Mytilus edulis: one gene and its partner. The protein of the gene in region 1 purifies or fractionates together with the protein of each later gene. This does not show direct contact. Links are inferred from orthologs where the notes say so. Each region holds a gene or a part of one and is shown on either strand. Other genes may lie near its edges.

Region 1 (3,759 bases):
AGCTGAAGGACACCTACGGGTGCGGGAATTCTCGCTACATTGAAGACCCATTGGTTGCCTTCGGCTGTTGTTTGCTCTATGGTCGGGTGGTTGTCGCTTTGACATATTCACCATTTCCTTTCTCAATTTTACATATATATGTCTCTGTTGTTATTATTAATCCATCAAAAGACAAGTATCACAACAATCAGTGAGAATTATCAAGTCATTGAACAATTAGTTAATTAAAATTATCCTAAACTAGCCAACAACTTTTAAATATTTCCATGTTTTCATAAATTTCAAGAATATAAACCATATAATTATCTGAATATCAACTCCAATACCCTGGTTTATTTTTTTTTAAGTAGGGCGAACGAACTCAGAGCAAACGGACCCAGGACGAACATGTTATTTGGGCGAACTGACCCGATACCATGAAAGGGTTGCAATTTGTGCCCATTATAGGGGGGGGGGGGGGGGGGGGTAGGAGGGGTCCTGATCCCGAAATCCCGGGCTTAAAAACACGAAATGCCGAGGTCCCGAATTTAAATAAAGTTAAATCCCGGATCCCGAAATTTGAAAAAAAAAATTCCCGGATCCCGAAGTAGTAACTCCCGAAATCCCGAGCTTAAAAACACCCGATCCCGGAGTCCCGATAAAGGTCTTATCCCCCCTCATTGTAGGAAAGCCAACAACTTGTCAATAATATTGTCGAAAGTACATGTATATTAAAATGTTGTCCATGAGAAAAAAATTAACGTTTTTTCTTTATTTCTGTAGAGGGTGGAAAAGTCAAAACTAACAAATGATTTGAATAGACCACCAAGTGTCCGTAATCCATTTAAAACATTCAAGTTTTTCACATGGTGACAAAAAAATGCTGAATTTAAATACAATTTTCTCGTGTTTTTTTTTAAAAGTGGATATGTTGTAAAAAAAGTAAAGAGAAATGTTGAAAAATGATGAAGTACAATTATTTTAGGAAGCTTTTATTTGTTTGTTTACAAAGCAAAGATTAAATTATAATCCGCGGGAAATTAACTTTTTAGCCATTTCCGGTGTTTAGATTATGAACCGGATGTTGCGATCACAACGAGGCTATAAATAGTTTATGAAGGTGAAGAGCAAAACAAAAGTGCCTTCCTTTGTTTCTTTTAATAACTAAAGTAGTAGATAGCTTAGTGGAAATGTTTTGAAATTTCTGTAAAAGGACACAAGAGTTTGTTCCAGTCCATGTGTTCAGTCATTTGACACGGAAGAAAGTCCGAAGGTTTCAAGCTGTATGATCGGATAATTTCCTTGCGTCGAATGCATGCACTTTCGAGTGCTCATTCATTAGTCACAAAGAATTTCCGTGTCACTTATTGTACTCATAAACGTGATAGGTTGGAGTAAAGTTATTTATCTGAACTTACCAAAAAAGGGGGTTACCCTGCTGGGGTTTCAACCTTAGAGGTCTAAACTAAGTTTAGACAAAGGTAAGCCAGACCAGACCCCCAGACACAATGGCAGACTTTGACCCAGAGACGTTGTTAGAATGGCTGCAAATGGGACAGGGAGACGAAAGAGATATGCAACAGATTGCCCTAGAACAACTGTGTATGCTGTTGTTGATGTCTGACAATGTTGACAGAGTATTTGAAAGGTAAAATTTATATAATTTATTCATGCAGTGTTCTCCCCAGGACCTTTTCATATCATGGTTATGTGATAATATCTGCAATGGTTATCTTATCAGTCTTCACGACGAGTGGCAGCCCAGGCTGGTAAAATTGCTCTCAGGCCTGTAAAAATCAGACCTACAGGCCAACAGAATCTAACTAAAAAAATTTCAAAAATTGAGCTGTAGGCCTGTAGATTTAGCAGTTCAGCGTGAAGACTGTCTTATAGGTTGTGTTATGGGTGTGATTCTATATTTTTTAGATACATGATGGTGTTTCGATTTCCCCTGTTACCCAGGATGCTACATGAAATATCTGGGGATAACACTGTAACATGTACATGTATAACATATATTATAACCAAACTGAATATATTGTCACATGTAGAACTACATGTCAATGTGCATGAAATGTATGTTCTATGTCTTTTATGTTTTATTATTAGTATTGTGTATGATTATTATGTAAATGTATGGATATGTCGGTTATAAAAGCTCTCTGTTTATTTGTTATGTATCATGCCAACTATAACTAAAGCTTTGAATTGAATTAAATGAATTGAGTCACTGTGACAGAAATAAAACAAAGTTTGGAAGCTTATGTGTAATGCTGCAGTTGGAAGTTGAAAGCGAAAGTACATGAAGTAGTGGCATTCTGATAAGGCTTAAGAAATTTCATACAATGTACATGTCCAGGTACTTAAACTTTCAAATACATGTACATGTACATTTTAGATACCCTAAAAATTGTCAATGTTCTCATCATGGCTGAAATATATTCTGATCAATCCCTGAAATCGGATATACAGTGGAAAATAAATTTGAATTGAGGAAAAATAATTCAAAGTGAAAAGGGTTACATGTACATGTACAATCAAAATTAACTAAACCACAGCAAGACAGGAAAGTCAGTTGTGGTACAGGCACTAGTAAATATAACTATATGCAATTTAGCACGCTTCTCCTTGTTTTTCTATGAAGTAACACAGTTTTAACATGGACATAAATTCTTACTCGCACAATTTAAAAAAAAGTATATTGCAGTATTGCTGCTCTCTTCACTTGTCATGCTTGTAGAGCAGTCGCCTTAAAGAAACTCATTGGTCAAACAAAAATAAATTACAATCAAACAAATTTTGCTTGCTTGCCATATATTTTTTGGAGCATTTGTCGAAAGCACTACAAATCAAATTGGTGTGGCCTTATGTCTAGAAAATCAGACATCTTTTGAAGGACAGGTCTATTAAAGTTTTAACTCTATAATTCTGTGTTAACATGTACATGTACATGTTTTTAAGAAACTGTTTTTTTTTTCAGCTGTCCACCAAGGACATTTCTCCCAGCTTTATGTCGTATCTTCTTGGATGAATGTGCTCCAGACAACGTGCTTGAGGTGACAGCAAGGGCCATTACTTACTACTTAGATGTATCGGCAGAGTGCACCAGACGTATTGTTGCTGTAGATGGCGCTATTAAAGCTTTATGCAATAGACTGGTGATTGTTGAAATGTCATCAAGGACCAGTAGAGATTTGTCTGAACAATGTATAAAGGTACATGTAAATGCTTATGAAAATCACCCATGTTTTTCACCATGTTTAAATTTACATTATTTATAAATGGTTTTTGCCAAGTCTGATCCCTTTTAATTTTATATCAATTGTATTTGAAATTCCTTATAACCACATTGTACATGTATGAAGTTTAACAGGTACCCTTGGAATTACAATGTTACAGTCAGACTTGATAAATCCGTCCTAGAATTAGAATTATAAGGTCTTCTTTAGATAATGTTACATGTACTGTACATGTAGGTAAATCAGTGCAATAAGTGTTTAAAATGTCTTGATATCATTATGTTAAAAAAAAAAGTTGTAAGTTAAGCTTTTGAAGTATTTCATTCTTGCCAAATCCAATGAATTAAGTGAAAATATGCATATGTAACTGTGATGAGTGACATTGTATTTTTGTTACATTTGTAATTTACTGTTGAGTATTTTTTCATGTTATGCTGTGATAGACCCTGATTATGAAGCATCTGTTTTAAATCCCTTTCTTCAGAGATTTGAATAAGTCCTGTTGTTTATTTTAGACAATAAGCCTTGATTAAATGTGATA
Region 2 (3,759 bases), on another chromosome or scaffold:
TGACTAACCATCTAGTCAAACGACTAAGAGCATAGTCAAAATGATTAAAGTGCATTGTCATCTAGAGGACAGTCAAAATGACTAATTAAATTGGTCAAATTGACTAATTTAGATTTTCAGTGTAATGTTGTTTTGAATTCTGAGGTTTTATCTTTGATGCTTCTACAGTTTACCGTCATGATTCTGAGGTTTCTTTTATTGGTGATGTTAAAGGGTGGTGGTGTTGTGTCCTTTATGCTGTTTCTTGTACTGTTTGCAACTGACCGATTTTTGGTAATTGATTTGTCTTTTGGACTACTTGTTACAAGTGGACTAAATGATGAAGAAAAGGTGTCCATAAAGCTGAGATCTGTTGTTAGAGGTTCGTAATAGCTTATGTTTTCAATCTCGTATGCATGGTAAGTGAATGAGGATACATTTAGGCTGTCACATTTGCAGCACATCCATTGCACGTTTGATCTTTGTAGAAGTTCGTAATCTGTCGTGCACAGTTCGATGCATGAGCGGTGGTGCCATATGCTGCAACAATCGCAACATACTCCCTCTGTTGACCATGTAACGGGTCTTTCACACAAACCACATGGGAAGACGTTTGCTGTTTTTGGACCTGGATTTGATTCAATGTCACCTGATAGTAGTATGATGAGCAGTGCTGTTGTTAAGTTTTGCCTTGCATGTATTGGTAATGATATTGGCCTTCTTCCGCTATGATGTAATTTCGGGTTTAGCAAGTTGACTAGATTTTGTTTTGTTGACCCTGTATGTGCATTTATGATATGCAGGGCTAATGAGCTGGCTAGGAAAAGTAACAGTGTATACTTCATGTTGTAACTAATATAGCAAGGGAGATCCTTACTGATTGTTGTTGTTATGAGGTTTTATCAGTATGTACAATGTAGCAAGGGAAATCCTTACTGATTGTTTCTGTTGTGTTGGTCCAATGTAGCAAGGGAGATCCTTACTGATCGGTTAAGTTGCATGTAAAATGTAGCAAGGGAAATCCTTACTGATTTTGTCTTGAAGTGGCGGTCCAATGTAGCAAGGGATATCCTTACTGCCGAGTTTGGATTGTTTAAAGTTTATGTTTAATAGATATAGCAAGAGTAATCCTTACTGCTTAACATGATTTGGATGAATGAGTTGATTAGAACACTAAATATATACACTTATCAAGGAAAAAACTGCCAAAAATATACAAAACTGGTGAATAAAACCCAGCGATATGGATTCCACCTGGAACATTAAAAAAATCACATATTCTTAAAAATAGAGAGCATTTCATATTATTTTTTTTTTTTGCTTAATTACTTTATTATGGTATTTTTTATTTTGCTGTACATATATTTATTCTGCGGTGATATTTATTATTGTTGTTCGCTGGTCGCTAATAATGCGATAATAAAGTTATAAAAGATTTCCCACCAAGAGCCTCTTCAGAGCCTGAGGTGAAATGATTGCTCCCTTACCGTCAATTTACTCGGTCAGGGAACCAGTCAAAACAGTAACTTCCGGTTTTACGTGGAACTGCCATAGTGGAAATTCTGCCGGTTGTACACAAATTATAGTTATTTACGAGTAACAGAATCATCTTATGGCATTATGTTGACGAAATTTGAAACCAAATCTGCAAGAGTGAAAGGTGAATGAAAGCATTTTTTTTGTCCAAAAGGCTTTATTTTCCAGTTACAAGGTGTAGACGCTTTAAAATGTGACAAAACTTCATAAAATCATAGACACAGGCATATTTTTCTATCTTACAAATTATATATCATCGACATCCGATGATTACACATTGTCTGCATACGTGGACTATTTAGAAAATTTGACCCATTTATTAAACGAAATATGATCTTCAATCTTTTTTCTTGATGACACCTGGGGTAATCTCTCTTATAAATTATTCGCTTTTGTAAATTAAAATCACTAATGTATTTTATTTATGTGCTTTGAAAATATCAATATACACAATGAATATGTTGTCTTATCAAATATCAATACTGTTGCAGGTCATAATTTAAAGATGGTATATTTTGATATATTATAAATATTGATTCACTAATAGGGGTTTGTCTTTTCACCACCGAACATCACTGCACACCGCCTACCACCACCGAACACTCCAAAAGACCACTAAACTTTAAGGAAAACAGTAATGTTTCACAAAACAAATCAATTAAATTATGTAATATTATTCCCATTTCTCATGTTTTTTCATATTTTTATGTGCATTTTTAGTGATTTTATTATTAAAGTTGAGAATCAAATTTAAAAAAAGGCTGCCATGTTTGATGGTGTTCAGTGCTAAAAAAGACCTACCGCACTCATAGGGTCTTTGCCTCAGAAATAAACACATATTCTAAAACCAGTTGTTGGCATGATACAGGTTGTGTTCTTCTCGTAGATTTTATGATGGTTTGATACAAAACCTACATCTACATCATTGAAATGCAAAGGGTTTAAGACCCATCACGCAAGTACTAATTAAGTCATTCAATATGGTGCTCATTAAAAAAATATTTACATGTGTGAAATTTCGCCTTTTCAGAATCTAAATGACTATGGGTAATCTCATCTGTTTGTTAGTTTATGTATCATTGTCATTGTGCTAAATGTTTTTTTTGTTACCTATTCCTACAATGTACGTATTGATGTTTAAGGCTGTTGATATCACACTTAGTTGAAACTGTATGTTTGCTATTTCAGGTCTTACTTTTCATCCTAAGAGACCATGGGTGCTGACAAGTTTATTCAATGGTGTTATCCAGTTATGGGACTACAGAATGTGTACATTGATCGACAAGTTTGATGAACATGATGGTAATACATTATACCTTTTATAGTACCAGTGTTCTCCCCAGGCCGTTTTAGCACAGCACTTTTCAGCGCTATTGCAATTCCCCGCTGTCCTATTGCACTGACCGCAGCGCTATCCAACGCAACGGCGTCGCTATATTTTTTTCAAATTTCCCGCTTATTTTTCACTTCGGATCACGTGATCGACTGGTTTACGATTTTTGAATGAATTATTTCCGTTGTATTAAAGTAACTTCACAGGACCAGTCTAATAAATTTTACAAAAATGGCGTTTTTGGAAGATCAAAATAAACAAAGATTTCAGAATACAGATTTCAACATTGACATCGATTTTTTTAATTTAAAGAAAATATAGAGGCATATATGAATGAAATGTGATGAAATGAATTGACCGCATTTCCTGACGTCACTCACAAACTTGTTTTACGAACTTTGAACAAACGATCATTTTAAAAACGATCAAACACAGGGGTTTGTTACAAATTATTTGCAGGGTTTACTATCCATACGAACCCCGAAAATGACCAAGTCTTTTAAATATTAATTATCCCCTATTCGAACTTATAATTTAGTCAGAAATTCTTCCATTTGATAACAATTTGAGAGGATATGATTAGCAAAACAAACCCCAAGCTGATACGACTTGAGAAATTTTACTTTCTCGATGTCCAGCTTGGATGAGGCCATTTAAATATTATAAAACGTTTAGGTCATAAAAATGAGAAATCTTTATGCTAAAAAATGTCAATTCCTGTCAAACGTCGTAAGGTAAACAGTACACTGCTACAGTTTGTTACAAAACCAAACAGAAGCTGACAATGACTTTATTGTTGGTCCTACATGTTCTGCAACATTACCTGATGGTGCTAAGAAATCTTGGCACAGGCAGTCTGGTGTAGATCCATCATAGAAAAAGACTCTTCCTTCAGTTTTATACATAGATAG

What was found. Proteins that work in one complex are often made in the same cells at the same time.
Region 2: the proteins of E3 ubiquitin-protein ligase HECTD1-like (region 1) and coatomer subunit alpha-like purify together in Homo sapiens (affinity purification with mass spectrometry, with the first as the bait; 3 studies listed by BioGRID). This does not show direct contact. The link is inferred for Mytilus edulis from reciprocal best matches to the Homo sapiens genes HECTD1 and COPA.

What each region holds. Positions count from the first base shown.
Region 1 is NC_092346.1:80,551,577-80,555,335, reverse strand, and holds the start of E3 ubiquitin-protein ligase HECTD1-like, read left to right. Parts: upstream 1-1,058; 5' UTR 1,059-1,487; coding exon 1,488-1,627; intron 1,628-2,959; coding exon 2,960-3,194; intron 3,195-3,759. UniProt on the Homo sapiens protein: E3 ubiquitin-protein ligase which accepts ubiquitin from an E2 ubiquitin-conjugating enzyme in the form of a thioester and then directly transfers the ubiquitin to targeted substrates.
Region 2 is NC_092345.1:20,017,846-20,021,604, reverse strand, and holds the start of coatomer subunit alpha-like, read left to right. Parts: upstream 1-1,475; 5' UTR 1,476-1,599; coding exon 1,600-1,639; intron 1,640-2,703; coding exon 2,704-2,817; intron 2,818-3,759. UniProt on the Homo sapiens protein: The coatomer is a cytosolic protein complex that binds to dilysine motifs and reversibly associates with Golgi non-clathrin-coated vesicles, which further mediate biosynthetic protein transport from the ER, via the Golgi up to the trans Golgi network.